Lepisosteus oculatus: one gene and its partner. Each later gene encodes a partner of the first gene's protein in a complex. Links are inferred from orthologs where the notes say so. Each region holds a gene or a part of one and is shown on either strand. Other genes may lie near its edges.

Evidence for each region.
Region 2: the proteins of ogdhb (region 1) and tcaim are in contact, whole or in part, in a cryo-EM structure (PDB 8I0K), measured with the Homo sapiens proteins. The link is inferred for Lepisosteus oculatus from reciprocal best matches to the Homo sapiens genes OGDH and TCAIM. Residues at the interface, in NP_001425937.1 of Homo sapiens: Gly301, Tyr304, Arg323, Tyr354, Arg356, Ile358, Arg364, Asn365, Lys387, Glu391, Tyr394, Cys395, Gly396, Thr398, Glu399, Lys401, Lys402, Lys561, Met602, Pro605, Glu667, Gly668, Ile669, Asn709, Met734, Ala735, Ser736, Pro737, Asn738, Gln772; in NP_001269842.1 of Homo sapiens: Glu214, Gln234, Arg235, Ser236, Trp237, Gly238, His241, Ser244, His247, Ser248, Arg251, Gln255, Asp272, Arg273, Thr286, Met287, Asp288, Val289, His290, His291, Glu331, Leu332, Gln333, Pro334, Val335, Arg375, Tyr376, Glu441, Ser443, His473.

The regions. Positions count from the first base shown.
Region 1 is NC_090697.1:69,249,270-69,264,811, forward strand, and holds the start of ogdhb (2-oxoglutarate dehydrogenase complex component E1), read left to right. Parts: upstream 1-8,977; 5' UTR 8,978-9,138; intron 9,139-13,906; 5' UTR 13,907-14,080; coding exon 14,081-14,302; intron 14,303-15,542. UniProt on the Homo sapiens protein: 2-oxoglutarate dehydrogenase (E1o) component of the 2-oxoglutarate dehydrogenase complex (OGDHC). Participates in the first step, rate limiting for the overall conversion of 2-oxoglutarate to succinyl-CoA and CO(2) catalyzed by the whole OGDHC.
Region 2 is NC_090705.1:42,752,640-42,769,326, reverse strand, and holds the start of tcaim (T-cell activation inhibitor, mitochondrial), read left to right. Parts: upstream 1-7,923; 5' UTR 7,924-7,994; coding exon of another isoform or gene 7,995-8,010; 5' UTR 8,011-8,161; coding exon 8,162-8,180; intron 8,181-8,420; coding exon 8,421-8,499; intron 8,500-10,736; coding exon 10,737-10,872; intron 10,873-11,332; coding exon 11,333-11,486; intron 11,487-11,851; coding exon 11,852-12,110; intron 12,111-12,559; coding exon 12,560-12,682; intron 12,683-14,893; coding exon 14,894-14,991; intron 14,992-15,339; coding exon 15,340-15,431; intron 15,432-16,067; coding exon 16,068-16,300; intron 16,301-16,687. Other genes in the region: protein TOPAZ1, read left to right, coding at 1,615-1,786, 1,997-2,097, 2,595-2,760, 3,504-3,668, 4,386-4,595, 5,464-5,647, 6,058-6,286. UniProt on the Homo sapiens protein: May regulate T-cell apoptosis.

The DNA of each region.
Region 1 (15,542 bases):
TGCATATGCTTAAAGTTTTACCATTGGCATGGAACGTGGATAATTCCAGCATGTTGAACTGATGGGGGAGGGCTCTTCTGTAGTATGAAATCCCAGTTAGTTTTAATCCAACCACTTTTGTGCTATGGATACTTGGCACTGCCTGGCTGTGCAGAACCTGATGCCTGGACCCGATTCTGGGCTGCATGCCCATCGTTCATCCCACTTCAGAGCAGGGACACAGTGACCAGGCTGCCAGCTCGAGGCACCGAGCCTTCTTGTGTGCTGCCCTCGAAGCACAAAGCAAACATTGTGCTCAGCAATGTGGCGCTCCAGGGAGCTGCAAGGGAAACTGTGACGATGCAGGAAGGGAGGCGCAGCAGAGGAGAGTCCAGCAGTGAAATTTGCTGTGGCACTGGTGATGCTCGCACTGTGCAGTCCCGTATTTACTGCTGACCTCCCTAGGGCAGCAAGACCCATACAGCTGGGTCTGAACACATCTGTTGTGCAGGCCAGTGGAATCAGTGTCACTGCTTGGAAATGGCAGCAAACAGTACTGCAGACAGGATGTCACTGATTCAGTTAAAGAAAGGCCAGGCAGTACAGACGCTGTGCACAGTCTGGGTCGGGGGGGGGGGGGGATCGGGGGGAGATCACAAGCTGACCAAGGACATGTAGAGGGATCTTTTTTAAGGGCCTTGAAACTTGTAGGATTTAGGAGTTAATTCCGGCAAAACACAGCCTCCTTTAATTCACTGCAGTACCTTCACGTACGCTAATGTTCTGTGGAAAGTAAGATGAGGGTGAATTTTGAAATCATTTTTTGTTACCAGACCAGCTGCTGATACCTGCTCTGTCTGGAGACAGCCTGCTGGAGCGATCCGATTTTAGGGGTGAAAATTCAGTTTCCAGAGGCATTTTGTGCACATCTGGGTTCACCATGAAGGGACTTGGGGGAGTCAAACTAGAGGGAAAGTTACAGACTTTGAAGGTTAAGCAAAAACCGGTACGATCAAGCCACTTGCAATCTGTGATGCGCTAGGGGTTTTTTTTTTTGGTCCTTTTCTTTTTTTTGTTCACCCCGGTGCTTGATGTGATGATATGGATGTGTGTGCGTGCGCGCAATTTAAAAAAAAAACTGTAAATGGAAAAAAAAAATACCCCCCCCAGGAGAAATAGCCGCATGTTGAAAATGGTCTTTTGTTCTTCAGTGTGTTTAGCATCAAAAATAATCATTTTAAAAAAAAATCTAAGAAAAAATATTGCTGACCTGCAGTTACCTAGTAATATCATAGATGGGATTTCTTTGCATGACATTCTACAGGACAATAAGTTTGGTGTTTTTTGTTTTTTTACTGAATGCTGTAAAACTATGAACCTTTCTCTATTTTCTGAGCTTTGTAAGTGCATAAAACTATTTTTGTCTCAAGATGATGATGATGATGATGATAAACCTGTCATGATGATTGTATGGCATGCTTTTGTACAGGGCTCAGTGTTGTCACGGCAGCGGGAGTCTGCACTGCAGAGCTGATCGAGAGCAGCGTGTTCGTACAGCACGTGCATTTGTAGATGGATCACACCCAGGCACAGATTATCCGGCTGCGCTCTTGGAAGTATTAGCCAGTTATTTAACCGAGCTAATTCATTGATTTAAATGTTTAATTTGAAGTGTTTATCCTTGACGTTGAAATACTGCTGAATGTCAGACCCTGTAATTGATAAGGAATAAAATCTTTTTCAGATGATGCTAGTCGTGAAAAAGCACGATACAAGTGTTTGTCCCTGCTCTAACGGTTAATACCAGCCTGACTCGGCAGAGCAGCTTCTATGGAATAGATCGATCTGAATTGGCCACCATAGATTTTTGTGCTTATAACCTTGTGTGAAAGCCTGCTCTATTTTTCTCCCTACATGGCCTCTACACCGCTCACCTGTAACACAAACGCTCAGAGAAGCATGAGCTCCGTTGCACATCTCCCCCACGACCCCCACCCAGCTCCATCTCCAGGATGGAGTTACAGCTTAACGCAAGGCAACGCGCTAAAGCTAGGGCATCAACAGGACCATGGCCAAAACACAGAACACCTGCAAAGCCAGGAACCATCTGCAGACGAAGGCCATTCTGCAGCTGTTCAACCATGACCTCCACTAGGTCAGGGAGGCTGGTGGGGTGAGTTGTTTCTCTGTCAAATAACAACCGCAGCCATTTTCCCTCCCCTGGAAAACTCACAGTAGCAGCAGGGAGACGGGGCTTTCTTCTCCCTAGCCAACATCACCAGGAGTGCTCCCTGGCCACCACTGCCCTTATATCCCATGGACCTGCATTCAGCGGGGATTTTTGTATGAAGTAGAATCGTGGCGGGTAGGTGCATTCTTCATGGCCAACCATTCAATCTAGACCACTCCTCCCACCCCTACCCAGCAACCCACATCCCCTCCAAGATGTGTAAACCGTAAACTTTCCCTTATTGGGGAAAGGGAAAGCCATTAAGTTTACCCCCGTTTTGTCTTTTTCCCCCCCTCATTTTTAATTCACCAACACTATAGCTTCAACCACCAGGAAGCTGTTCGAAGTAGTGACCTAGTAACCTACTCAACCCTGCCAGGCTGATCCTGTCTGGGCAGGGTTATTACTCAAGAACCCAGACTAGCACCCATGCCACCATCTACTGCGTCTGCTAGGATTCCATTCTGCCCAACCTAGTGGGCTCAGACACCACTCCCAGCCTCCATTCTAACCTCAGGCAAGACTACCCTCTTGCTACCCTCAACCCTTTGGAGTGAGCACACCGTACTCTGCCCTGCTGTCATTTCCTTTCATAACCCTTGGAGTAAACCCACTCCTCAGAGAGTGCAACCACGAGCCAAACTGTACTTTTTCCTCTCTTGCACCTTTCCTACCCACCCATGTCCACCATCTTGCCGTCTAAATACCCTGCAGCTGAGAGACGGGTCTTTATGGCTGCTTACTTTGCTAGTGCCTGCACGCAGTGTGGATTTTGAAGGTGGTGAGGCATCATTAGGCAGAGCCAGTCCATTCAGGAGACGTGCTACTCCTCCTAAACAAGCACTTTAACATCCAGTCCAGGGAGCCGTCCTCTTTGATTGAGCCCTTTTCCATAACAATTCTTTCAGTCTTAGACTTGAGGTGAGGATGCAATCTCTTTTCCCCCAGGAAAAGGACCAAGTTCTTTCCCAAAGACTAAATATGGTACTTCCCCAGTCCTTTAGGGCTAAAGGGTAAAACTCTCAAGACCTTACGGTACTCTTCCCCATTGAGCACTTAAGACGGGACATCTTAATCCTTTGGATCTGGGGACCAGGGCAGCCTCCCCTGCTCCACCTTCCTCCAGAAGTCTTCAGACTGCACAGGACGACCTTGCTTATAGGTTTGTAGTCTTCTCCGAGACCCTTCTGCCTCCTTGTGCTGGGTCAATAGGGTTTCCCCAGGGAAAATGGTGAAGGGCTAATAATGACTTTCACTTCCTACAGCCCGATTTCCTGCTGTGCATCCATGGGAAGACCTCCCGAAGCTCCTCCATCTGTCACTGCCGTGGCAGCTGTTGCACACTGCCCTTCTCAGTCTGAGGAGAACTCGCTTCCTCTTGGCATCTTTTTCCACAGACAGAGTTTTCCAGCAAAAGATTAGGAGTGTAGACAAACGTTCAGTTGTTAGAGTTCTTCTTTCTGGAGTAGTTTGTTACTCTGGCTGGTCTGTAACTGGGCTTCTGTAAAGAGAATTGTGTCCTCCACCTCTCCTCTCCGCAAGGGCCTGCTTGAGTTGGGAACACCTCTACGGACTACTTCACTGCAGTGCAAGAGACTCTGGACTAGAGATCTAGGAGGATGGCCATTACCTACTGGGCCTCCTCTACTACCGCCTGGAGGCTCATGGTATAGCTGGGTCTGCAGCTCGCTGTTTTCTTGTGTCAGGTGGTTCTGAAATGGGCATTCACTCATCAGTGTCTCAGATGACCACACTGACTCTTCTTCTGCTCTTCATTAGGCTGTAGGACCTCATTCTTCTCCCTCAGGTCACAGGTCAATGCAATGGACTTTTGCTGCAGTTTTCCCAGTTCAGCATCTTGCTGGCTCCTCTGCTTGGGGTTCTGGAGAGTTTCTCGAAGCCCGACAGTCTTCCATGGAAAAGCCTGACGGCTATGACTGAAAGTCTGGCCATGCGTTTGTCCTTTTCTGGAACCAAAGGGTCCCAGTCACATGTTCCTGGCAGCTGGAACAACTGCAGGTCTGTGGAACTGTGAGCCCCCCTCCAAGGTCACATGATCTCCTCTTCAGGAGAGTTTCTGGACCAGGCTTCAGCTCTCTTCTCCCAAGTCAAGCTCATCTCACTTGAGCACACCAGACTGCAGCCTGCGTTCCTCCGCGTCTCCTGGTGACCAGTCTTATGTTCTTTCTTCTTCATCTCCGAGGTGCTGGCCTCTTCCGAAGAGGGAGCTGTAGAGTGTTCTGGCCTTGCCGCAGGCTCTTACCGGAGCAGAAAGACATGCCTCCTGTGGTCTGCGGGGCTGGGACCTGTTCATGCTTCTCACAGCTGCCGGTCCAGGGAGGGGGCGAGGGGGGTGGGCTCTACACCAGTCACACCATCTCCTGGCGGGCCCAGCTGATGGTCTTAGCTACCGCCAGCTCCTCTCAAGCACTGCCAGAGGAGCCTGACCCATTTCACTCTGTTACAGAGTCTTCTTTTCCCAACTCTTGTCTAGCTACTAAATCATCTTCCATTGTTTTAATTGCATTCTCAGGGAAGGAGAATAATTTCCTCCCCCTTTGTTTGGGTGAAAAAAAAATCGAGATGAGAGACGACTTGCATCGGTTTTCGTCTTTTTTGGGGGGGATTGCAATACTTGTATTGACCGCTAGGGCTGGTTCTTCTTAACCTGGTAGCGTGGTTTCGGACGTTCAACACCCGTGAACCACCTGTGAACCACCTGTGATAGGGCGCCTGAAACCCTATTTTCAGTCGACAGGAGAGCCGTTCTGTTTCTCCGCCCCCTCAAACCTACGGATATGTTTATTCTTTTTGTTTTCAGTCAAACACTGTACACTGGTCTCGCCTTTTCGGAAGCCTTTTAAAGAGAAGACTGCTCTACTTCAGCTGCAGCAGGTTCCGCTCCCGTAGCCTCGTGCGAATGCAAAGTCTGCGCTTGTTGATGCCCCGCGTGGGGCCTTCCACGCCGTACACCTGTAGCGGGGAAACCGCTGCTCCACTAAATCAAATCAAAATTCTTCAGTCAATCGTCTATTTTTAAAAGGGTCAAAATACAGTTTACGATCACGAAGCCATGACCACTCGCAAGACTGTTGTTACTTGGTTTGAAATTCAGCGCAGTCCATCACTTTTCAACACCTCGGTTATGGGTTACAGTTATTTCGCTCTTGAATTCTCTTGTTTTTTCAGTCTGAAACTCCAGACAAACCTGTACGTGAGCTGCCGGGTGTCCGAAGAAAACAGTATACGTTTGCTTTTAATCCTGCTGAATTTCCTTTGTAAATAAGACCTGCGGTCTACGTACACGTACGCTAGATGGCGCAATCCAATGCTGTCAAATTTTCGATTAAAAAGTGAAGAATAATGGCTGATAGAACAGTAATTATTTTCGTTTGTTGTTAAGAGCTTGCGTGTGATTGAAAATGCCATGTTTATTTAAACATGATATGTGGAAGGCACAGTTTTTACAATGCAGTTGCACCTTGGTAAAAACAAAAGTTTAAAACAGTTTATTCCTTATCTCCATCGGGGTCCAAATTTTCGATTCTGTTTTCTCTTCAGGGTAGATCTAATGTGTTTTATAATCTTTTATCTCGATTGACCTGGTTTAGAGGACAAACAGCATTGTGGCTTGAAAACTAAATTATTCCAAGGACACTAAAACTAAAGACAAGGGTGTGGCACGTTTGTAATAAATGGTGCAGATTTAATCTTAATCCCGGGCCCTTTATCGCAGCAGGAGGCGCCCACGATGCGACACTAGGACACTCCAGCACTTCCACGCAGCTTGTGCGGTAGTGGCCGGCAGGCGCTCAGGTGTCGCTTGAAGGCCAGTGCAGCCCTGGTCCTCGCCCAGTGCCCCTAGCAGCGCCGCCGGAAGACGACAGGACCTTAACATCCGTGTAGCATGATTCGCTCTTCCCGTCACAGTCCCACTGCAGGGTCCCGCAGCGAGGGTGGGGGGGAGCTGGCGGGGGAACCACACCGCCCTTCCGAAACAAGAAAGGGAGGGGCAGCAGCTGGGGGGGAGGGGCTTACCCGGACTCGCTCGGGGTTCTCGTCGCTCCTCCAGCCCAGGGTCAAGCCGCCTGCCCCGCGGAGAGGTGGTCCTGCGTCCGCTCAGCTCTTCGGCTCTGTACGACGCTGCTCTCTCTCTCTCCTCCTGCTGCCTGACAACACCGAGCTGACGACTCTTTGTAGTATTCCTTCTGCCTTTCTTCCCCCCCTTGTCCTTCTTTTCAAAGTATAGTTTCTCCGCAGTTTAAAACCTTCTTTTCTTTTCTTTTTTGTTTCTGTCAGTTCTGGTTTCTATGAAGATATTAAACTACTCTATTTCTCGGATGATTATTCTGATGATTACTGTTCTCCGATGTGCTCTATGTGTTCTCTGACTTAAGGAAATGTGTTAAAATGTTATCAATAAAAGCAACAACTTCAATATAAGCCCTCCCTTCTCTCTCTCTCTCTTTCTCCTTGCTGTTGTCGTTTCCTCTGTCTGAAAAACATTGAAAATGCCAGAAGGACTGTAGCTGATCCAGTGGATCCTGGCTTAAACTAATTAAAATGTCTTTTTATCGTTGGCTAGCATGGCTGCCTTGTAGCACCTGGAGTACTGTCTGTGAGGAGTTTGTATGTTTTTCCCAGGTCCACATGGGTTTCCTCTGGGTGCTCCAGTTTCCTCCTACAGTTCAAAGACATACTGGGTGAGTTGGCATCTGGGAAAATTGGCCCTGGTGCGAGTCTGTGTGCCCGGTGATGGAGTGCCGTCCTGTCTTGTCCAGGGTGTCCTTGTGCCTGTTTCTTGTTGGGATAGGCACTCCCCCACAACCCTTAATTAAATAAAGAATTTAAAAAGGGATGGGTGGATGGAATAGCCAGATTCTTTAGCTGCCACTGAGCAAAAGCTGATAAAACGAGGAAGTTATAGTGTTCCGGGCAAGGTGATGACACCCTGTGGTGACCGGTGTCTCCTGCAGTCTGTCCGGCGGACGAAGAGTTCCCTTTCCTCATTGCCAGCTGCTGTCTCGCTGATTTCTGGCAGAGAGGAGGAATGCACTTGCACCAGCTGACAGGGCAGAAACCTCTCGTGACGTGGAAATGACGGCTCTCGTATCGACGCACCTGCGGACGTGATCCCCCTCTGACCCCTCCACCTGGCCACAGATGCGCCCCCCCCCCGGCACCCCTTCGGCGCCCCGCTGTGCTGATGCTGCAAGGCTGGTGTGAGCAGAGTCCAGCTCCTCCTTGCACAACAAAGGACAAAGTCTCTCCTCCTGACCCCCCCCCGCCCCCCCCCACCAGCACTCACTATCACAGGCGAAGTGATAACAGCGAGATCACGCACACCCCCGGAGGCACATGTACACAACACCCGCACGCAGCCTCTCACATCGACAGATGGACTGTGCTCCCACACCCAAAGACAGCTATACAGACACAGGTGAGACAGACACACAGCATGTTTCTGCACCAGGCAGCAGGCCTGCACGGACGCAGATGGACTGTGCTCCCACACCAGCTATACAGATGCAGGTGAGACAGACATACAGCATGTTTCTGTACCAGGCAGCAGGCCTGCACAGAGACTTCAGAATCACACTGGCACAGCGCTTTCTGAGACTGGTGCAGCTTGCACTGGGGGAAGGGCCTCTCTGACTCACCCCTCAACTTAAGCATCCTTTACAAACAGAGGGTGACTAAGAAAGCCAAAAGCATCAGGGAGTGTGTGTCTCACCCCCTCCATTGTGAATTCACACTTCTCCCATCTGGGAAATGCCTCTGTGCCCCCCAGGTATAAAACCAACAGACTCAGGAAATCTTTCGTCCCCACTGCAATCACTCTTGAACAATGCAAAGTCACTACCTTGTCTCTTGTTTCTTTTCTCCTGTAACACTTCTGTATTCTCTTCCCTTTTGATGATGTGCATTTGTCATTGTGTTGTGTTTGTGTCGTGAAACTAATTTCCCCTAGGGGACAATAAAGCTTGAATTGAAAAAGATAAAGCTTGAATTGACAGCGTTTCACGCAGTGGTGTTTGGGGTGGGGGTGGACAGAGTTTTCACTTCTCACACAGCTGTAAAACTGACCACCACTCTTTGGCCTCAGGAAGGGCAGCAGCGGCCTCTCTGCTGAGGTGGGAGAGGAGCACAGCTGGTCAGGAGCAGGCACGCCTCATGCGGACTGTAACCAGGGTGAGAAACCACCCTTGGCCTACTCCCACCAAGCCCTTCATTACATCAGCAGGGATGACTGTCCAAAGGCTGCTCTAGAGTTTCCCATTCACATCCCATCCTGTCACCTAGCAGCGGCAGATTTCTGGTCTCTAGGGGCCAAGACCACAGCAACACACAGGTGAACTCATCTTAAAGAGGTTAGGGAGGCTCCCCACTCACACACAGCACGGTGTGACAAAACCTTTAGCAACGCACATTCCCAATGCTCGGGGCCTGGATTTAACACCGAGCGTAACCCAACTAGTAAACACCGGACCTCGTGAAATCAGGACGCTTCCTCCCGTCAGGACTTTAAGTAGCAAACTTCTTCCTAAAGAGTTTATTTTGTCTACGTGTAATTCACAATGTAAAAAGCTGAGGAATAAAACGGTTGCTTCTTTTTTATATTTATTTAGCAAAAAATATTTTTTCCTAACGGGCACTACAATACGCTTAACAAACGGCGAGCTCGTCCTTTCAGCTAAGGTTACGTCTCCCAGCGTGAGGGTGCGGCACGCCAAAATTCCTGTTCGTGACGTCAGAGCGCGGTGACGCAGAAGGCCTGGACTCGGAGTAGTCTTGCTCCGCGCGCTGTCATTTCCAGTCTGGAGAATCGGAGGGCAGTGCGGCTGTGAGGTGCCGAGCCGCTAGTTAACTAATATTCGCCGAAATACTTACAGACTTTCACCCGCTAACCGACTAAAGGAGAACAAAACGTAAGTCCTCTGCATTATTTCTAGATAGGTTGCATTTAGAAAAAGAACGGCGCGACTAAAAACCGGGGGAATGAAGCACATCTCTGTGACGGCATAGAGAAGTAACTTAGGATCTTTTAGTAATAGGTAGCGATGGGAGCAGACCTTCTGTAGTACCTGTCTGAACTCCCGGGCAGGCCTTGGGAATGCCAGGCTGTAGTTTCTTTCCCCTGCAGGAAAGGTGGCTGAAATATTCTAGCAAAATTGTTTCTGTAACCCGGTACGCAAGGAAAGGACACAGTGATGGACAGTAGCGACGACCCAATCGCACCGCCGCGGTGTAGGCGGGCTGCTGCTAACGCAGCCAATCAGCGTAGCTTTTAGCAAGGATGGAGGCGGGACTGAGCCGGGCGGGACTGGGCTTGGTTGAGTTTAAGGAGAGAAAGTGCAGTATAGCGAGGACGCAAGGTCAGGACATAAGCGTAGTCCGCTAGTGGGACAAACAAGACGCGGGGGGGACATAGGCTCTCTGGGAACTTCACTGGAGGTTCAGCGCAGAACTGTGACCGGGTCCCCGTGCTGCAGAAAGCTGCCTAGTTGTTAAAGGAGGGCTGTTTTGCTGCACTCACTGCGGCTACGGGTTGCCATGAAAAGAGACCCGCGCATACACACACAACGCGCGTGTGTGTGCGCACATTGTGTGCGTTCCTGGAAGCATGAGGCGAGATAACACTTTTTTTTTTTTACAGCCCCGCACAGTACTCTAGTCTTTCTTTTTAATGCTGACTTCAGCAATCAATACATAATGAGGAATGCATAAATTACTCCAACGCTTAGAAATAAACGAGCAAAAGGGCAAAGTTCTATGTGCTGGGACCTACCCCAACCACCATCGCCTCTTCTTGGGTCTGTGCTGAACAGGGCTCTTTTGAGTTGTCTGTTATTCAGCCACAAACGCTGTTCAGCTCAAACAGAACAGAAGATACATGGCTGTAGAAGCAGCAAGGGCTTGAAAAGCAGATAACATGTAAAAAATGAAGTATCTCTTGCATTTCACAATTAAAAGTGTGCAGTTCGCATATAGGTGATCTTTTATATAAGATCTTTTCTTGGCCATTTACATGTGGAGCTTGCACTCCTTTTGTATCTCTTTTCACAGTACACCATCTTCACAGTAAAATTAGAAACGGATAGAAATACATCTCAGGGCTTAAAGGTGCTGATGGACTTGGAGATCAGTCCACACAGTCCTGGGGCTACCCAGCAGGATGCGAAGCCTGTGACTTGTTCAGAGCCCTGCTTGAGTGATGCAGGGACTTGCACAAGAATGTCGACAGGAGCCCATTCTTCTTCTGTAATTGGAGAAGGAAAAAAAATCATAACGTACCTCTGTGAAAGCATTCCAATAACCTTAGGAAGGAGGCATGTCATCCTTTCACAACAGGCCTGCTAGCGTTGTTTGCAGTCGCAATCTGTTTGCTGCGTTGTTGCTTGGTGTCCACTCTCTCTGGGTCCTGGATCATTCCTTCTGCTTGTGTTCTCACCTTGTGCGGCGCATAGGCGCGGGCCTTATTTTTTCATTTCATGCTGTTCGGCTTGGTGCACACGGCACAATCTTCACCGTGAAGTTTTAGATGTAACGTAGAGGAACGAGTGAGTTTCACAGACACGGGTGTCTGTGATGAGCCGCATCAGTGCTGTGCTGCTCGTGAGTGGTGAGTGCCGATGATTCATAGTAGCTTCAGCGTGATGTACAGCACTGAGTGGATGAGGTCTGTATGTGTGCACTGGACGAGGAGCTTAGTCACCTCACGTTTATCTCAATACAAATGGAATGGAGGGCAGCATGGTAGTTAACTGGGTCCTGGCTTCGATTCCAGCCTGGGTCTGTTTCTGTGAGAAGCTTGGAATGTGGGAGGGAATCGCAGCACTTGGTAAAAACAATTGCTGACTAGGTATAGCGGGCCCGGTGACGGACCTGTGTCCCATCCACAGTATCCCAACCACTGGGAGAGAGGCTCCAGGATGCATATCAGCAATCCGCAGTTTTCCGATAACGGATCGATGGAGTTAGACTTCACGGCAGTTGCTGTAGCAAGACGAGGGAGAGCCACAGTAATTGCTGATGTGGTACATTGTGCAGGAAAGCACATGACTGCATACGGAGCACAGGAGCAGTCCTGAAGATGGGGGAGCCATCAGCTTGAGTTCTGTTGTTACTGTTGTATCCTCAAACATGCCACTGTGTGCCCTGTAGTCTGGTTTGCCTGACACTTCCCTGATCTGAACCTGAGTGGATCTTCATTTTCCTGCCCAGAAACACCAGCCAGCATCAGCTTCCTCTTGTCCCATGGCGAGCTCTGCCCGAGACTCCATCTTTAACCTTCTTCCTCCATAGAAATTTGAGTCCTATGATGACAGTCTGTGGGACTTTCTTCTCTTTCATGTTTCAAGCAGTTGCCCTTTGCCCCCCCCCCAGACAAGGCTGAACAAACAAATGTTTTAATTGTCTTTTTGGTTTGTTTAAGAGGAAGGGTCCCGAGAAGAATTCAGGTTACATTGTCTTGGATTATGAATTAGCTGCACATGGAACACTTAATCCTGTTTTTACCCCTTTGGATGGAACAGGTGATGCTCATCTGATTAGATTTCTTACTGGACAAACCAAAGTCAGACTTTTCCGATTTGACTTGCAGACATGGAGTTTGGACCTTCCGTGAATTCTCCTCCCACATATCCTTCTTTTTTTTTACTGCCCGTGTATATTTCTGGATCCCAATATGTGCAGTTTTTAAAACTGAAACTTTGAATCTCTTTTCTGGCTCTGTGAGAATCCTGACTGGGGCAAGCTGCCAGACAGCTCACGTGTTCCTGAGCCACAGTTAATGAATATTTGGAGTTGCAGGTCTTGACTGTGGTAGGCAGAGCCCGCACAGGACCCACATTACTGACTGTACATGTCTGCTCCGATGATCTGTCTTCCTGCTCAGTAGAGAAAAAATCTACTGTGTGGATTTCAACTTTGCAAGCTGAAGGCACACTTCCTCTTGCCAAATAGGCCTTAGCCATTGGCAGCTGAAGCTGAGTTCTCGGTGTGACCACAGGCTGACCTGGGGACACGCCTGAGATAAGCTCGAAAGCTTGCATGAACCTGCGTTGTCAAACAAGTGATAAAAGTCAGGCTTTGCATGTTGCAGGTTCCAGAAGCGATGCGACAGAGCGTTAGGTGTTATTAAGAGGAGAGCCGTAGCCCTGGAGCTCAGCTCACGCCCTGGCCCGCCCTGTGAGGGTGTTGGGTAAGAAGCAGAGGGTCCCCACGTGACCTCGTGCTGCCCCTCGGGACGTGAACTGAACAAATCAGGTTTGGTTCTCAGGTTCTTCTAGACCTCGGGCCTCAGCCTGCGTCCCCAGGACAAGGGGGGGTTACTTGACAAGGAGCCCCTGAGAGCTCAAGTGATAGAGGAGTCTCTGACACAAGGGCCTTGACAGAGGCCCATTCAGGTGACTGGTGACTGCAGGGCGTTTCCTTCCCTAGACTGCAGACGGAAACAGCTTTGCCAAATAAGGAAACCCACTGTCACCGTTTTCTCCGCTGGATACCTAAATGAAGTAATCAGGGTTGAGGTTTAGGGAAGGAATTTGACATGGGAGGGTACAGCAAAGTTGTTTTACTCGCAGTGTATTTCACCTTTTCCTTTTATGTTACATTTTTCACCTCTTACAAATATACAGATTCCACAGTGGATTACAGTGTATGTGCCATCGTGTTTTTTATATATCCAACACCTCTACTTCTCTCTACAGCTGTTGTCTCAGTTACAGCGAAAACTCCTCTGACAGCAGAGTCATTCTTCAGTTCTTCTGTGATTTGGCAGGCCTTTGTCAGGTTGTTAAGGCTACTCTCGCCTCTCTCAAAATGTCTCTGGGGGTCAGTGTAAAGAAAAACACCTTCCGTCTCCATACTGCATGTCTGTGCATTGTGGTGGCCTGGGGGTTTTAGGTAGGTAGGGTACACGTCTTGCACAGAAGCAACTGAGGCCTGTAGGCTAAATTGAAGTAGACACTAGGGCTGTCTCTCTGCAGTGTTTGGCGATCAGACCTGGCTATAGTTGTGGTTCTGGGAATGTTTGGCCTGCTTTCTGTAAATAGAAATTCCTTGAACATTAAAGATGATCTGTCTTCTGCGGGACTCGGGTCTTGTAGTACAACACATGTTGTTGCTTTAAGTAGCACTTTTCTGTGTGCACTAGAGCATTTCGATGCTGTGCTGTGTTATTAATGACACAGTTAAAAGTTCAGATATTATATAATGCTGCTTTGGGTCACATTAGGGTGGCTCGAGGACTACACTGTGGTCCGGTTCTGCTTTTCAGACCAGTGAAGTCGTATTTATATTTAGCTTTGGGGCTTTCGGCTTCTAATGTTTGTCAATGAGATTAACGTAACAAAAATGTTAACATCCGGCATAGAAAGGGCAAGGTTTATTCCACAAAAGCTAGACTGGGGAATGGTGTCCTCCTCATCACGTGCTGAGTGACTGTCACCATTGTTTTTCCTAAACTGCGTCCAGAAAACATTCCGACACTTAGAATACTGGTTATTCTGCTTTCCTTTCTTTAGGGAAATGTGCATTTTTCCATTGTGACTCACTGTTGTGTAAAGCAGCTTTCAAGAATCTGTTGTTTTTTTTTTTTTCATGCCCATTCGACAACAGCCACAGTGACCTGAGAATTCACGATCGCTGTAACGCTGTCGTCTTTCCTCCCGTTGTTTCCCGGTGCCTCTGCAGAGACAGGGCGTGGGGATCCGCGAGGACGACGCCGGGGACGCGCAGAGGAGAGTTCCAGGGAACAGCAATCCCAGCGAGAGAGAGAGAGAGAGAAAGAGGGCGACAGCGAGACGGGAAAAAGAGAGATTTTCAGTAGCGGGTGGCCGGCGGAGCCGTGCGTTTTAAGGGACTGCAATGCACCGGTTAAGGACTTGTGCTGCCAAGCTGAGGCCTCTCACGGCCTCTCAGACTGCTCAGAACTTCTCACACAAAAGGCCGGCGGCCCCGAGGACGTTTCAGCCAATCAGGTGCTACACTGCGCCTGTGGCCGCCGAGCCCTTCCTCAGCGGGACTAGCTCAAACTATGTGGAGGAGATGTACTATGCATGGCTGGAGAACCCCAAGAGCGTACATAAGGTAAGGCGCCGAGGATGATCGGGCTAACGAGCCCCGGGGGAGGGGGAGGACAGGCGCCCTGCGTTCGGAGGGCTCTGTCTCTTTGTGTCTGTAAATTTAACGGAGGAGGAGATCTGTCGGGAGAAGAGGAAGGAGGCGCCGCGAGGCGAGAGAAGGAAAGGAGTCTTCCCCAGAGGACCTGCTGCGTGGGTTCGCTGTTCGACGTCCAGCGCACTTCTGGGATTTCCACTTTGCAGTTGCCAGAGTGCCTTTGACTATTTAAAGGTGCTGCAGCAGGTTTTGAAAGCTGGATGAGTGATGGTGGTGGGGGGGGGTAGTGTTGTGTGGTCTAAAACAGATGCGATCTTCAGCAGCCCCTGGGAGCCCATGAGTGGGCTGCTTTTGATGTTAACTAATCTTCTAATTATGCAGTCGACTTGGAAAAAATAAATCTATTGTTTTAGGAGCTGCGAAAAGCTAAGACGTAGAGACCTATAAAATGCTGGTGGGATGCAGACCTCCCTGAATGCTAAAGTCTGCTGCCTCTGCGTGTTGAGGGAATGAGCTGTGTTGAACTGTACACTTCTCCTTTGCTTTTGCTGTGGTTTGCCTTTACGAGGTTTATTTCCCAGTAAACTGACCTTGACTTACAGTGCTTTTTTAAATGTGGCACGTCCTTTCCTGCCTTTACCCAAGACGTGCTTAACTAGAGAAGAATTAGTCAGTGTCTACACATGCAGCGAGCACAGAACTCTGGTTTGCGTTAAGACTTGGTTGTGAAGCCCTGTGTCAGGTATATTGAAGAACTATCCCTACAGTGTTCTCTTATCTTTCCTTTTACCATGTGTGTGTGTGCGCACGTACTTTTCAAACAAAACTTTATTTGTACTGTAGATTTTGGAAACGCATAGCAACCATCATTCCCGGTCAGATACAATCACATTTCAACTGGGACTTTTTTTAAAGTTGCACTGCCACCTGTTAGGGAAGGTCAGATAATGGCAATCTGTGCAGTGTATAAATGGACATGGGAGCACTATTGAACAATGTCAATATAAAGGCTATCCGTTGTGCTATTTTTAAGGCTTTAGTCTGCGCTGCGTACTTACACTTTTTTGAGAAATTGTAGAATCTTTTAATGGAGTAGAAAAAATAGTTGGTGACCTAATCTGGCCTTTCCCCAGCAGTCTAAGTTTGCGATTATACTTGGGGAGCAACTTGAAACTCTGCTGCACACTTCATCGTTCATGTGCTCAGTGTC
Region 2 (16,687 bases), on another chromosome or scaffold:
AAAATAAGGCCCAAGTGAGTTTCAAGCTGAGCCTTTTGGTCGATCGTGGATGAGCAGTACCCAATATCGGCATTTTCTGTCCATTGCTACTCAAACATGAAAAAGCAGCTCTAATAACACCAGAAGCACTTGCTGGTCTATACTGGAGTGTCTCTGCAGTCGCAAAAGAAGCACTGAGATCTTATGAAACAAATATAAATAGGAAAACCAAGTAAATATTCATCATTTAATCATTAACTGCCCTGAAGAGCTGCGTCATAACTATAAATCACTTGGCAACTGGGCTGAAATGATTCATGCAGCTTATTGAAAAGTACAGGTAGTGGACAAACATCTGGAAGCGCCTATTAGCCACGTTCTAAACCAGAAACCAAGGTGCGAAAGTTTGGAGAGGACTGGTCAATTCCCAGTGGAGCTGATGGAGGCCCAGAGCACAGAGGTGGGGAATTGAGCGGGCTCTTGCCACAGCTCACAGCTCCCTCCTCCCACTGCATGTGGCCTCCTGGTCTGGGGTTTCGGTGACCGTCCTCACGGTTCCCACGCGTGCCCTGGGACTTGTGTCTCGCTGTGGTGACTGAGGGCCGTGCCTGGAGGATTTCAGTGGCTTCAGCTCAGCCTTCCAGTGTGGGGGCTTTCGTTTCAATCAGATTGATTCCAGAGCAGCAGTAACTTTGACAGCTTTGCCAGACTCATAACTCACTGTTCTCAATCAAGTGTTTTTAGTGCGTAATGCAGTTTTATTATAACATCACTTGAGTTAAATTCTACGCTTTAAATGGTATACACTAACACTTTGTCTGCCTTTTTTTATTGCTTCCCTACTGTATCTAGAAGACGTAAATGATGCGTCAACATAAATGCCTAAGTTTGTTTTTGTAAGTATACTTTTCATGCTCAGTGTTTCCCTTTTTGCATCTTAAGTTTGTTTTCGGTACGTGCATATAGCACTCTGCACTTGTCTGCGTTTTGAGGTCATCTGCCATGCATTTACTGTCTTAGATTGTACGGAACCTACATCTGTTTGAATTTCCGTTTTTTATGCTAATCCTTCTGTCTGGGTGTGGTCTGCGAACTTGGCAAGTTTTCTCATGAGTTGGAACTGATTTGCTCTCATTGCGTTTCGCCCATCTTGCATCCGGTTTGGTTTTGTGCATGTGAGCAAATCAAGCTTTTGGAATAAGTAATGAAACCAGCTTGTATTAAAACATCAGATACAAGTGCACTACATATAAAGAAAAAATATTCAACTTCTCTGAGTGTGAAACTGTGTCTCCGTGGGTCTGAAGTCTTCTGTTGCGCAGGTTTCCACTATGCTAAAAATGTAGCGAAGAAAATGGTGATGCGTTCGGTGAAATGCACAAAGGGGACTGGAAAAGAATGTCAAAAAAACTAAAAAAGGCCGAGTTGAAACGGCAGCTGAGACGAGCCAGCCTGCTCTAGCGAAGGCACCCGTTAGAGAGCTGAGGAGTCGCAAGAGAAAGCTGCCTGGCTAATGCCCAGCCTCTGTGTTTCTTCAGCGCTGCCCGGAGGGTGTGTCACACTCGGTCAGCGACGGGCACCCAGGCCGCAGGGGATGGACTTGAATTTTGGTCTTTGATTTCTCTTTGTCTTCAGCGATGTAAAGAGCAGGAAGACTGGGCTACGCTGGGAAGTGTCTTCAACAGCGTGTGCGGCACCAGCGGGAGTCTCGCCAATCTCAACAGATTCTGTGCTTCTGTTGCTTCTGCACTTTTGAAAGACCTTGAGAGAACTCCACTGGTTCCTTTCTGTAAATTTGTCGAGACAGGTGTGTTGGTTTTCTTTATTTATGTAAAAATGTTTCTCCTCTGTATATACTGTATAATCTACTTTGAGTAGCAGTTACTTCGTTTTTAAAGTTTTTGTTACCGTGTTTGTTGTTTTATTTACCAGTTATGTCACGCTTGTTCTTTATAGCGACAGGAGTTTTTACGTAAAGGGAATAATTTATCAATTGTTTTCAAAATGGTCTTTCCAGTTTGTCAAGAAGGCCGAATAAATGAGCTGGGCAGAACTTTGCTTGGAAGAATTGGAATTTCTGTGATGTTTGGGTACCACAAAACACAGCAGTGGACAAAGGTAGGCTAAGCAGTGTGGTAAGAGCACTGCCACAGAAAGGGCCTCTTGGTGTCCATCAGGTGCCGCCAGGCAAGTGGATTGAAGGATTGACTTCATGTAGGCCTTTGTTTGATTAGGCAAGTAGAGATTAGGCACTAGAAGGTGTAACTACAGTAGTTTTTCTGCTCAGTTGGGCATGTGAACAGTTTTCATACTTGAGCACTTTTTTTATTCATATTCTCCTGCTGGTGAACAGTAAAGATGACAGTCTTTTAGGGGGAGTTTTAAAAACTTTATTGGATCACACACAGTACATATTGACTTATCCATGTTTATGTTTCTTGTTTATAATGAACTCGGTGTCTCTAAGAAAATGTCTTTGGCGAACATTTGTCTTTCATGATTTGGCGTGAGAGATTGGTACCGATTTATTTTCTTTCCCGCCGAGAAGTTTTCTTTTCCTGGAGATGAAGGAACTGTTGTAATAGGACAGGTAACAGTAATGCTCTGTTCAACAGGGTCGGAAATTGTTGGAAGCCTTAAACGGAATGAAGATCAACTTTTTTACGCTCAAAGGACTCCTGGGGCATGAGCGCCACGTGTCCCTGTGCCAGGTTGTGAACGTTGCAGCAGATATCTACCTCAACACTGGGAGTGTGGAAGGCGCCATAAACGTATTGAAAGGTGGTGCTTCTGCTGATGCATTCATGTTTTAACCGTGACTAATTCTGGCAGCCATGCTACCTCCTTCTAGGCCAATTTTGTCAAATCTCGGATGCTAAACAGCCAGCCGGGCCGTGTTAGTACCAGGGCGGCCGCCAGCCTGCTCCAGGAAGTGTGAGCCTGTAGAGACCCTGCTCTGTGGACAGCAGGGTCTTTAAAGCTGCTTCTTTCACCATTGCATGAGAGGCGAACCGTGTGTGTTCTGGTGTCACTGTATTCTCGTTGTGTGGAAGTGGATGCTGAAACAACAAAACAAGAACATGTTCAAGCCAAATGATTTTTTTTTATTCCTTCAGTTTAGAAGCCCAGATGAATCCGCTTGACTCCCGGTAGCAGGTTTGATTTTTTTTTTTTTACCAGCACAAGAGGGTAAAATAAACTGCTGGCTTTCTTAGTAAATGCATCCATTTAGTGCTGGCTGCTGCCGATTTCAGTGTAATGAAGTTGGCATCACCTGTCGCTCTGAAGGACGTCCACTTTAGGAAACTGGCCGATCGATTGTGCGTTAGACCTGTTAACTGATTCCATGCGCTCCAGGGGGTTTGATGGGGCAGGGTGTGTTGGCCCTATTTGTACTCTTCTGACCAAGTGTACAAAACAGATTTGGTCGTTTTGGAATCGGTGGGCTCCGCAAGTCCACGGCCTCAGGTACTTTTCCTAACGCAGAGTGAATGAAAATGTCGGTTCTGTTTTCTCTCCCCCAGCGTCCGAGTGGGTCAGCAGCTCCGCGCTGTGGCCGTGCAGCCCCGGGGACGCCGGGAGCCGCAGCAGTCTGCTGTGCCGGCTGGCGGACGAGGCGGCGGGGAAGGGCCTGCTCGGAGACGCCCTGGACGCCCTGACGAAGCTCCCCGGGCTCCAGGACTTCCCAGGTACGGAATGGAGCCACAGCGGTGAGTCCTGCCTGTCAGGGTTGGGCCCCCTGACCTGGAGGGCGCAGGTCACGGCCGCCTGCTGGGGGCGCTGTCTTTGACTCGGCCGTGACTGAGCGAGGCCGTCTCCACCGGGGGCTGGCTGTCTTCCACCTGCTCGGGGACGGGGAATGCAGATGCTGTGTGTGTTCTGGCTGCCGGCTTTCCAGTGTTCCCAGTGTCAGTTTGGGACAGTGTGCGTTGGGTAGAAATACGGTTTCTTGTATGTTTGATAAAACCGTCTGTCGGTGAAAATCTGATTTTTTTTTTTATCTGAAGGTGCTCGAAATGGACTTTTCATAGCTTAAAATGTCATCTCTCCCTCGATAGATGTCTATCCTTGTGAATGCGTACAAGGTCGTGTGTTGAAGAGATGTGGCTGGTGACAGACTGTCGGTATCAGATGTGCACAGTGCCTTATTGATGAAGTTCTGACCATGAAGGGAGAATCTCAGGGGTCCCGTGTCTTTTACAGTTGGACATCCTCCTGCATCTCATGTAGTGCCACAGAAGTGGAGAGTCTTTCATAAACATTTAATCATAGTTGCCAGTTTTAGGCGGCACAGTTTCCAGCCTCTTTCGGTGCCATTGGCTTATCCTTGAAAGCCAAGGTATACATTGAAGGAGGGCAGGGCCATGACTTACTGTCCTCTGTTCATGAAAGTCTTTTTTTTTCAGTTTCAGATGCACCATCTGTTTCCCAGTGTGTTCCAGTTTTCAACAGACTCTTAAAGTGTTGCATTGAGCAGCACAATTTGACAGTGTCGTCCAACGCTGTGGACTTCATGGTGTGCAAGAAGATACCTGTGAACTTTGGCCTGCTCAGGAACTTAATTGACAGATTGGGAAGACAGTCTTTGTGGGTGAAGGCAAGATCCCTATACAAATGTAAGTGCTCACTTTTTCTTCCTCTACCTTTTTTTAGGAAGTTGAATTCACATGTTTATGCCATTTTGAACCAGTATGAGGTTTACTCAGCAAGCACTGTAAACTATAAACTTAAGACTGCTGGATATTTTCCATTGTGCAACCCAAAAATGGACATTCCTGGTTCTGGGAAGTTAGTGTGGTTATAAGTTTTCTAGGTCCCTTCAAAGCACCTGATTTGAACTGTGTTGGTAATTATTCAGCCACTGAATGAGCTCTCCTTTGAGAGCTGACTTGGATTAAAAACCTTCAGACACCCTAGCCCTCTACGACCAGAGCCCATCCCTGGTTTACCAGAATTGTTCTACAAGCAGAATCCAGTTATGTACTGAAGAATTGGTATTGTTGTTTTCTTCTGGATCTTAATGCAGTGCATCTTGCTTAACATTTTGGATGTGGTTCAGAAAACCATGAGGTATTGTAAAAACAATATATAATAAAGTGAAGTGATTATTCTTATAGGAAATAAAGTTGTAGGCAGATGCTTGCACAGGAGCAAGTAAGATTTAACAAACAAGTTTACAAATATAGTAAAGCACTTGATTTTAGGAAAATAGCTTTTAAAGGCGTAGACATTTTACAGAGTTGTTCACACATTCCGTGGAGCACTGTCAAAAACATGAATACAGTAAAATACACAGAACTGTAATTGAAAACTGGATGTATGTATCTGTTAAGCCAGATCGGTGCATGGTGAAAATGCATCGCAGATGGTTATAAAAAAAGGTTGTTAAATGATTAAAGACAGTGTATAGATCACAATAAGGACATCGGGCACGGTGAGCAGCACAGCCTTCCTCGTTCCTAGCCTGCTCTTCTGTGTCCTCAGGTGCGCTGCATCTGGGCTGCTACCCCCCTGTCAAAGAAAACACGTACTGCAGGCTTCTCTCCGTTCCCTGCTCCCTAACCGAGATCGAGATGACACTGGCCTTTGAAATGTTCATGGTTTCAAATGCAAACAGCATTCAGAATCCAAGTACTTGTACACACGCTCTACAGATTGTACTGAAAAGGTATGTTTTGTAGCTTTCTGAATTAAAAGCACATTTATACAGACCATTTACAAACTTCTGTAAATTGAATGTATTCAAATCTGAGAGAGGATACGTTCATGTTGCTTAGTAGGTTACTTTTTTTTTTCTTGGAGCGATCCAGAATGCTCCCAATAAAGATATTTGAACTATTTTTAATGTTTGTAAGGTTTATTTAGATGAAGAAGTCACACTTGCTTAGGCTTTAGTGAACACTGTACTCAAAAGTGCAGTTCTGTCAGTTTGTGAACCAGTTAGGGATCATTTCTATTGGGTGCACAGCCTTTGCTGATGAATATTTCTATATAAGTACTTAAATTCATTTCGCTGCACATTGACAGAAATGCTAAACATGACTTCGCTAAACGTGTCCGCTTTTAATTGAAGTGCAGTCGTTTTCTCCCCAGGAAAGAGGAAGATGGGTCGATCAGTGAATGTGACTACCATGCAGCTGTGAGCAGACTCGTGTCGGCTGCCCAGATCACCAGGCCGAAGCTGGTGATTAAATATGCCACCGTCAACGTCTGCGGAGAGCAGGTGTTCACGCTGGACCCTCTGTCGGCTCTGAAGTGGCTGAGCCAGAACATGGAGTGGGCTGGGAAGGCCTGGCTGGTTTCCTGACGTCTTCAAGGAGCCCGTCAAAGAAGAGCTGCAACGTTGTACATTAATCATTAATGTATGGTGCACAATAAAGATGAAGATAGGTTTTTCAGATCATACTCAAAACATTTGCTTTATTTTAAGTTGAGTTTTATCACGGCGTTCAAGCTTGTGCATCTTCACAGCACCTTGTTTCCAGCATTTCAAGAGATTCTCTTCCCTCTCTTGCTTGTCAGTTTTACAGTTAGGTCCTTTTCCAAATGGGTCGACGTGATGTCTGTGAATTGGTGAATTGGATACCTGGAATGAGGTACCTTCTCCAGCTTACTGTATAGGTTTTTATGTTACAAAAGTATCTGGAGAAGAATATCGTTTTTGTTTTGCATTGTGGTCATTTAGGAAGTAACCTCCTCAGGTATATTAAGTTAAAACAAACGCTTGCACTGAATATAGCAACTGTAACGAAGAATAGCTGAACCCAGGTTTGCTTTTATTAAGCAGATTTTCCTTGTGAATCATTGAATCTGCTGGAGGTTATTGAATAAAAGGCATCTTTTACATCATTCATGGCATTTTGTGCCCAGAATGTACTTCTTATTGCCAGTGTTCTGTATTTGTTACCAAAATTATGTATACGTGTACTGATGAGCCTTCCAAGATTTACACCTGTACAATTCCACTGGTAGATGGGGACAGCTGTATTCTTTAACTTACACGTTCTTCAGGTTTCTAAAGGAACTGAGCAATTACTTGGAAAATAGATGTTGCACAAGACCCTTGACTTTAACAGTCCTGTTTAGCTGGCGCTTGCATTTGGTAAGAGCATCTATTAGACTGCTTTGGATCACTTGTGAAGGGTCTGCCAGACAGAAGAGTTGGTTTATGCCAATTTAACTCACTTTGCAATGTTTCGGAAACTTGAAATGAGCAGAAACCAACTTGAGTATTAATTTCACATATTAAGCTACATTCTACATAAAATGTGATATGTTGCACCACTACTGCATTGACTTGTGTAGGGAATAAGAAAGAAAATGCTTCAATTTATGTAATTCTAGTTATAGGGTTTCTTTCTGTAAATAAATTGTGTTTTGCTGAGTCTTAAATATTTAAGATAAGTTAACAATGGGAGTTGCATGTGATTTATATTTTTTGTACAGGTACATCTGAAAATAAAAAGGTTTGTGAGCAATCAGCTTTTCGGTGTTGGCAGTCCTTAGTGAACCAAAACGAATGGACTAAAAAACTACATTTAAATACATTCGGCAGCTACTGTGAAATGATTCTGCTTCCGTTATAAAGAAGTTGAATAAGCACAGCAGGAGTCTCGTATCAGTGATTTAATACGGTGGTCGACTCTGTCATGTGAAATAGTAACGCCTCGTGAATTTCACAACCCAATTTGGGCTAGTGTTTTTAAATGTTATGTTAACATTACATCTTATACGAAATAACCGATGGTTACCTGCTTCTTGCTGAGAGAGGGGGAAAAAAATCAGTAGTAATGAAGGACCTTGCCTTGAGACGCAAGTCGCCTCTGTGTGACCGCGGTTCACCCGAAGGTGGCGCTGGTTGCGGCCGGTCCTGCGTCACGTCTGAGGGGAGCGAATGGGTGAGCGACTGCTTCTGTCTGACGACGCTCGTTGTTTTTAAATGGAGATGCGGGGGTGACAGCCTCGTCCTCTTGCTGCTCTGGGGTTAAATATAGTTCCGCAGCTTTAGATGATGAATGTGCACCCGGAGAGGTACCGTTAGGAAAACCGAAAACGCGTGAAACGCAGCTGGATTTGTTTCTGCCGACTTGAGAGCTCCTCGGTGTCGGTGTGTTTGTGTTCAGCGGATGATGTGTTGCAGGCGCGCTGGTCTTGTCCTTGCACTGCGTGTGTCGTTGTGTGAATGTGTCGCATATTGCCAGGTAGGGTTTAACGATTGCGATTACAGTTACAGCTGCTCCTCCTTATAATGCGTCTCAAATATCTCGGGAATCTCGCATTGTGTTTTCTTCCTTTGCGTAATCGCATTTTCTGGATGTGTCATAGCGCTTCATGAAAGATGTCTTCTGTGAAAACAACTCGTTTTACCAAATTACCAGTTGCATCCTCTTCATACGATAAGTTAACTCCGTAAAAAAGCCCATTTCTTTTTGCCGGTTAAGAAAAATCTCTGCACCTGTGGATTTCAAGAACGGTTTCCAGTGAGATGTCTGTAACCTGCTTTCTGCGGTTTCTGACGAGGTATGTATGAATACTGTAACACTATGCATAACCGCTGTACATGCTAGCCTCTTGTATGGGATATTTAGTGCATTCTCGTTTATTTGCATGGCGTGAAGTTAACAGATGCTTTTGGATTGCTCCTTAGATTAAGCAGGTTGTGTCTGTATATGCAGAAGTGCAGGAATGGACCTAAACAGGCAGCCAAACGATGGAGCCACTTGACATTTTACCAAACTGCACTAAAAAAGTAGAACATACTATTGATTTGCTTGAAACTGTATTAACCTTTTTCCAGTGAAATGTAAAAGGCATGGCTGGTACTTCACATCAATCCTCTCTTTAGAAATATACCTTCTTTTTTGTTAATTTGCTTTTTCTTCAGTCTTCTTTCAAGCGCACACAATCCAAGCTGTTAAGAGTGGTGAAATGGCTGCCTCCGATTGTAAAATGTTTTATAGTCTTAAGATACCAGTCCAGAGGTTTATCTTTAACCTGTTAAATGTCGTTCCTAAAATATGTATTGGCTTCCAGGTGGTAAACCTTGTTATAGCTCCTTGTGGTGGTGACGAGCCAGATTTCTGTCCTGGGGTTTGACTGTTTGCAGTCATTGTACTGATTTAACATGGGTTGAATTGTGCCCAGCCTGAGCTGGCAGCTGGCACAGTTCCTTCTCCTGTGACTCTGCAGTTCATAGTACAGTGCATTTGTGAGGGGAACTGGCAGCTGCAGGCTTTTCAATGTGCTCCAGATCAGGTGTTGAAGAAGGCAGTTATCCTGTGGGCTGGTAAAGCCCGTGGAGCTGTGGCATAGCAGTGGGAGGAGCGCATGCTGTCTAAAACTTTACCTGCGTGTGCCTTGTAGCTATAAGAGCAAGTCAAGTGATTCTCTACAGACTTACAAATTAGGCCGTCCTTCAGTCTCTCCTTTATGTGACAGCTGCAGATCTTCTGAAGGCACTCCCCACACCTCTTCTGGCCGTCTCCCAAGGTGTAATAGACGCTTTAGGGAGAAATTGTTTTGGGAAGAATATTCCCCCTGGACCCTGAGCTAGTTCTCTTCGGTGGTTCAGGGGCAACACTCAGACTAACAAAGGAAGAACAGTCAGCGCTGGAGTCCAGAATAGTTCTGGCCAAAAAAATGATTCTTATAGAATGGAGATGTGTTATTGGAAAGAGCTGGTTCAGTGAGATGATCTCTGCTGTTACAGAGAAGATTTGTTTATATAGATCAGGCACTGTGGAGTGATACGGGTTCCTTTCCTGAATGTTGTGAAAAAGACTTGAGTCTGGGACAGGTCCCTGACTGTTTCACACATCTAAACAGTCTGTGATCATTTCTCTCTTAGATTTAATCTCTCTTATCTCAGCAAGAAAACTTTTTTCAAAAAGCCATAACCAAGATTTAGCTGTTTGTTCTTTGTGTGTGTCTTTAGGTATTTTATGTTTTTATGTTGTTTTTCAGTTCTTGTTGTCTCGTTAAAAGTTTCTGAATTTCTTAATAAAACACAGATACTCTACGATGGAGACTAAAATGTTCTCACTGGGCCGTGGTTGCAATATTTATCCCACAGGCACCGTTTTACTAGAGCTGTTAATGTGAGCCCCCTTTTCTGTTGCTGCTTTGTGTGACAGTTCAGACTTTGATCTTCCAGGCTGGATGTGAACAAACTCTTCCACTTCAGACAGTGCAGCAGTGCAAGTACACGAGTCTGCACAGCTGGATGGACACAGGGCGTTTCTAAAATATTGCGGTCATTGATCTGCACTGTCATATGGTATCTGCCTTCTGGCACCATCATTTACATTTTAAGGTGAAATGGTTTAAATTGAAAATGGTTTTAGTGGCAGAATTCTGAATTAATTAAATTGCATTAAATGGTTTCTGTGGGTGTCTACGAAAACAGAAAGGAATGATAAAGTGCATCAGAGCCCTGTGGTCTGTTTGACACCAATCTGAAGTATTCATATTTGCAGTATTATAATTCATTTTACCCATGCATTTATTTGTCACTATTGCAAATATCATGTGGCAAGCGGATGGATAGATATGACAGGTGCACATTATATACTGTTCTGTTTGTTGTGCCTTATTATTATTAGTGTTTATTAGTGTTTAGCTCTTTTTGCACTGGTCTTGACAGCTGGATGAAGAGGAGCATGTGTTTGAGAAGTAAGGAGTAGACGTGTTTGCAGGGTCTCGGGTGCTCTTCCTGTCCTGTTCTGGAGTCTTGTGACGGGCGTTTCCCTTTTCCACAGAGCTGACTGCAGCAGGCGTGTGGCTGCACAGCTCCTGCAGAAAAGACTCCTGTCGGGGGCAGAAGCCGTCAACGCGCTCCGGCCCTTCTACTTCGCAGTGCACCCAGATTTCTTTGGCCAGTATCCAAGGGAGAGGGTAAGCAGCTCCTTCAGACGAAAAATTGTTTTGTGTTGTGTTGTTGTGGCTTCAGGTATCAAAACAATTTGATACACCAAACACCAAATTTGCAGGAAAAAAATATAATTATGGTACAGTATATACCATCGTGTTTTAGCTCTTTAATATCTTAAGACGGCACACAAATTTCAGAATTTTGTGTTTCCTGGAAGCCAATTTAAATGCAGTCCACTTCAGAGAGAGACTTAATTACAGGATTGCATTGTGGGTGTTAGTGATGTCCTGCTTCAAGATGCAATAACTGCCTGCTTGCATTGTGAGCAGAAACAGAGTGTGCTTTCTGTGAAAAGTTACATTTTCAGCATTTTCATTTTCTTGATTTTTTTTTATTGCAATATTCAATTGCCTTTTAAGGTAGTACAGTGCATTATATGTTGTAACTGTGTGGTGTTGGAAATTTGAGTGTCTTGTCTCGCAGGAGGTGAATGAAAACTCACTCAAGCGGCTAAATGGATATTTAGAAAATCTTCAGAAGCCAGGTGTCCAGTCCCTCAAACCAACACGACTAACATTTTATGTTCGAGACACAACAGCAGAAAAAGATGCTGCTCAACATGAAATCCTTAATTCAGGTACTCTGGAGTACCACACACCATATATCTATATCATATATTATATTATCTGTCTGAATGCTCAAGTTCTGACAAATGATGATGTACACAACAGGTGTCACTTTGTAAATTGAAAGGTTTATACTGCAGTGGGGTTGTCGGGGCTGGTTTGTCAATGTACTGTGTGCATCATGCTGGCTTGCTAAGTCAGATGCACAGACCTCTGATAACCTGCAAAGCAGTAAATGTAGGCAATTTATTATTAAGACAAAGTTTCTAAAGCCGTTAGCTTTCAAAGTCAGGATTTTACCCTTTTCTGGATATTTTTGTACATTTAATAAAATGAGATGAACGTTCATTTGGTCTCGAACGCTTTTCTTTCACAGGGTTTCGAGCAGTTAGCTTCACCTTGCAGTCGAGGGATATGCGGAGCGCGGTGTTGGACGTTCTGAGGTCTTGCAGCTTGTCCACGGAGCACATGCAGGACGTGAAAGCCGGTGTTTGCCCAGACACCCAGATGTATGGAGCTGGAATTCCGTTCTATAGACCCATCAAGTGGGACAAGACTTTCTATTCATTTACAGGATCCCAGGATCCCGAGCAGCAGCTGGACAGAGCCAGGAAAGCAGGAAAGCCTACGTTGAGGTACCGTGCTCTTCAGACCTCTGGGATAGGGATACCGTAAGATATATTTGACTGAGTGAACCATTATTCAGTTAATATCAACCCCCCAAAACAGATTATGACACAATAAAGTGGGACTCTGTTAGCCGTTCAGTTTAGTCATTGATTTAGATCATGTCCGGCCACCTAAGTTTTGTCTGTGTTCTTCCAATGGTAGAAACAATGCAATGCCAAAACACTTGACGTTGGTTTTTCACAAAATGCTTTCAAAGCATGGGTGGGGCACTTCCGTTGCACCCCTGACCAGGGGATTGCTCTAGCAAGACATCCTTCATGGCCATCGTTCTGAGAATTCCTTGATTCATTTTTCTTTTGAGTCAAAGTTTGTTTAGTTGATTTCTGCTCGCATGTTTTGGGTGGAATTGAACTGTTGAAGTTCATTACTTGATTGTGCTTTGCATCTACAACAGCTCATGGTTGAGCAGCAATGAAGCAACAGCAACAAAGAAGCTGAAAGACAGCCTTCCTCGAAGAGCTGAGCTGAAGAGGCTGAAAAAAGAGCTCTGCCAGACACTGGGACTCGCAGACATACGGTAATTTCCTCATTCCAAGATCTTAAAAAGAAAAGCTTGTTTTAAAATGCCTTTCAAGCCATTATAATTTGGAGCTATCAAAGAAATTATACTAAATTTAAATATTCTGTGTTTAGCAACAGTAATTACACCTCTTTAGTGTTAAGCTATTTGATAAATGATCCTCCTTCCTTCAGGTGAAATATCTTGACTCTCACTATAAAATGATTATGTGGGAGTTTTCTGACTTAAATTATAAAAACAACCATAAAACCCTTAGGAGTTTGCTTATTTTTTCCTTCATCCACGAATCTTACTACATTAGCAAAAGAATAAAATTATTTAACATTTCCTGGTTCAGAGAGTTATCTGGAAAAAACAAAAGGCAACAGTGTTGCAAACTGTTCTATTCTAGCTCAATGTTTTTAAAAAGATCACTATCATGGCTTCTGAAACTTGTGCTTTATGGATCCCACATGTTGCTGGGTGTGTAGAAGTGACTAGTTTTTCTTTCTATATCTAATAGCATATTTTAACATTTAAAAGTTTAACCTCTACCACACAAACATCAGTGCAGAGGCTATAGTTCAGTCTTCTGGAAGAACTGTTTCTTCAGTTCCACAAAATACTGAAGTAATAACTCGCAACACTTTGAGTCATTAGACTTCCAAGTACTGTAAGCCTAGGTAGGGATTTCTTTTCTTTCCTTTTCTTTTCTTTCTTAGACTATGCGGTCTAGTAATCTCACCTAGGCCAGCGTACAGGATCAAATCAACGATTACATTTGTGTCCTGCATCAGCCAAGATGGCAGCCTGACCTGCGTCTTTGAAAGCCATTTCAAAATCTTCTAATGAACCTCTGTACCAGTTTGCTGATTTGAGTTGATGCTTTGGAGATTTCACCAGTAGCCAGAACTATTTCGATTTTGCATCTGGAAAGTTGCTACAAGGATTTGAACACATGCAAGGGGTCGTAAACTGGTCTGAGAAAAGTGTCCCAATACTCCAGCTGCACCTGCCCAAACAGTGTTAGGCCAGTTAACTCCTAATTATCTGTAAGTGTGCAGTTAACATCTGGCACAGTGTTCTTCCTGTGTGTACGAAGATGACCGGCCTACTGCCTGTTTGTCTCACAGCTCAGACTGCCTCTGTCTTGCAAACCTCTGCAGCAGTGGACACGAAACTGGACAGGTTCCATGAACCTCGCACTGCTTACACACAACACAGTGATAGTGCCCTGACTGTGTGGAGTGAGTGCAGTGACGTTTACCCACATTCTCTCTGTATTCTCAACACCTGTGTCCCTGTATGATTGTACAGAGCCTGGTTTGATTATTTATAAACTTGGCATCATAACAGACATTGTACACTGGCAAAACTGGACATAGAAATCTGAATATGTTGATAGTCCCCCAAGCCCGTCTACATTGTATGGGCGACAGGGCCTTCTCCTGCTATGCCCCCAAGCTCTGGAACTCCTTGCCCAAGGATATTAGAGAGTCACCTTCTCTAAACTCCTTCAAATCCAGACTCAAAACCCTCCTTTTCAGAAAAGCCTTTACTTAACTGCTTCCATTCTTCACCCCTCTGCTCTTCTTAATACCATCTTCCACGGTCTCCTCTATTGTTATTGTTGTATTGTTGTAATTATAATTGTGTCCTGTCTTGTGAAATTTTCTTATTTATTGTTGTATTCTTCTTATTTATTGTTATTGTCATCCTGTAAAGCGCTTTGAGAAGCCACCTTTAAAGGCGCTATATAAAATAAAGTTTATTATTATTATTATTATTTACAGTTAAAATGATATGTATTGGTTTTTCAATTCTTCGGATGGTAGCCATAATTCCCGTGTTGTGACTTTAAACATTACTCTCTCTTGTGGATTGAGGTTTTTTTCTGTTGAGTTTGTGTAATGTGAACTGCTTGGTATGGTGATAAGTAGTGTAGTTCAGTGTTAATACTCAGTATCCTAAGACATGGACAGTATCTGCTGCTGTCCCGCAGCCCAGTCGCCGCTGGAGAATCATTAGAAAGACTGGACGCCAGTAAAGAGTAGAACCGTTCCACACCAGCCGAGTGAACTGGAGAAGGTTTGGCTAAAGGAGAAATGGGGGGGAACCAGTGCAGACAGAATGCATAGCAAAATATTTCAGGCAGAAATCCTTCAAGCGAGTTAGTGAGCGAGCGGTTCAAGAGAGGGAATGATTAGACCTGAGTCCTGCTCTCTCCAGGTGGCAGCGCAGCTGGGGTGTTGCTCACAGGTGCAGCCTGTTGCAGAGCCTGAGTCGCCTGTCCCAGCAGAGCCCAGACGTCCTCCGCCACGCCCGCGGTACGGCCCCCCTCCAGCTCCTGCCAAACACGCCGGCCGTGCCTGTGCATCCCCGGGTTTGAACCCCCATCGTGATGGACCCTGTCTTTTTAAACGGAACGTCAGTCAAAACCGTGCAGCTAGGTTCTGTTCCCCTTTGGAACAGGGGGCAGTTGTCTTGAGAGCGTGGCTGGGTGTATTCAGTTGTAGGTTTGTGTTACAGATCAAAGGGGGCAAAACGAGAATTATATTCTGTCCTTCAGTGCTTTTAACTCTCACATTCTTGCTTGTGACAGAAATTTGATAATGGTTACAAAGCAGTTCGGGTCCTTGAGTGACTGGTGTAATCTCTCACGTTACTTTCCTTAGGGCAAATATTAATATTTACTGACCGGTCAGGAATGAGTGCTGCTGGCCATGTGATGCTAGGAACAATGGATGTCCATCACCAGTGGGCCAAAGTAAGACACTTATTTTCCTTTACAATCACTCGATAATAAAAGGATTGGTTTTCTTCAAATAGGAATTCAATTCCACAGAAAAAATCAAGGCTAGGATTTTCCGATTCAATTTTCAAATTAATGTAACCCTTTGTACTAATTTAGTGTTTTATAAGCAATGGTTCCATGTGTGAACTCAAAGCCATGAGTAGGAGGAGCAAAGGTCCGATGCTGTAAAATGTATTTCTTTCACATTGTTTTTCAGAGTTAAAGAGTAAATCTGTTCCAGTCCAATTTTCAGCTAGTCAGTCTGATCCAGGCTTGTTTTTCCTCTTCCTGGGAGGTGGGGGGAAGACCAGCCTGGAAGCGCCTTGGTCTGGGACTCGGGCTCGTTCAGACAGGTCTAGGTGGATTTACCCGGTCTGACATCTTTCCGAAGGAGATGCGATTGCCTCCTGGAGTCCGAACCTCTCCTGCGTGGTGTTATTAGGTGAAGTGATGCAGACGTTTCCTGAAAAACAGGGTGGTGGATGGGCTCTGGCGCGACCGGCAGAGGGGACCCTCGGCGACGAAAGCGGTGCCACAGAGATGAACGAGCTCGTTTGCGAGGCTGCCGCGGGGCGCCTCGGTTTTGAGGGGTTGCTTGTCTTCCAACAGCTGTTCGAGCGGCTGCCCGGCTACGGCGGCCTGCTGCTGCGGGTGCAGGGCCTGAGGGAGCGCGTGGGCCAGCTGCTCGGGGGGATGCAGGTGATCTACGTGGAGAGGCTGCAGCCTGTGCTGACCCTGGAGGAGCACCACAGCACCCTGAGCGCCCTGCAGAAGAGCCTGCACTCCGGCAGGACCCCCTTCCATCCACACAGCCTGCAGGGGCTCCGGGCCATGCTGGAGAAGTACGCTTGCCTCTGGCTGGGTCTGTCTGTCCGCCTGCCTTCCCCGAGTCCTCACTGAGCTTGTGGAGTGACAGCCTCCGAGTTATCTTCCATGTAAAGAGCTTTATCTCGCGCGTGTAAGGAACAGTTTCCTTGACGTTTAAAGAAGAATTAGACTTGAGGGAACGTTGGAGTGGCGAGCACAAACCCATGACCTTCACGGGTTAAGGGAGTAGCCTGTGGTAATGTGACATTCTGGAAAAAAAGATCTGCAGGGTTTTATTTTCTTGGCCTGTATTGGGTTGACATGACTGTAAGGAGGACAATTAAATGCAGCACGGGTTCATTTTGCGGTGGTGTAACACGAGATAGAGTAGTTCCCCGAAGATTGAAAAGGGCCGACTCTGA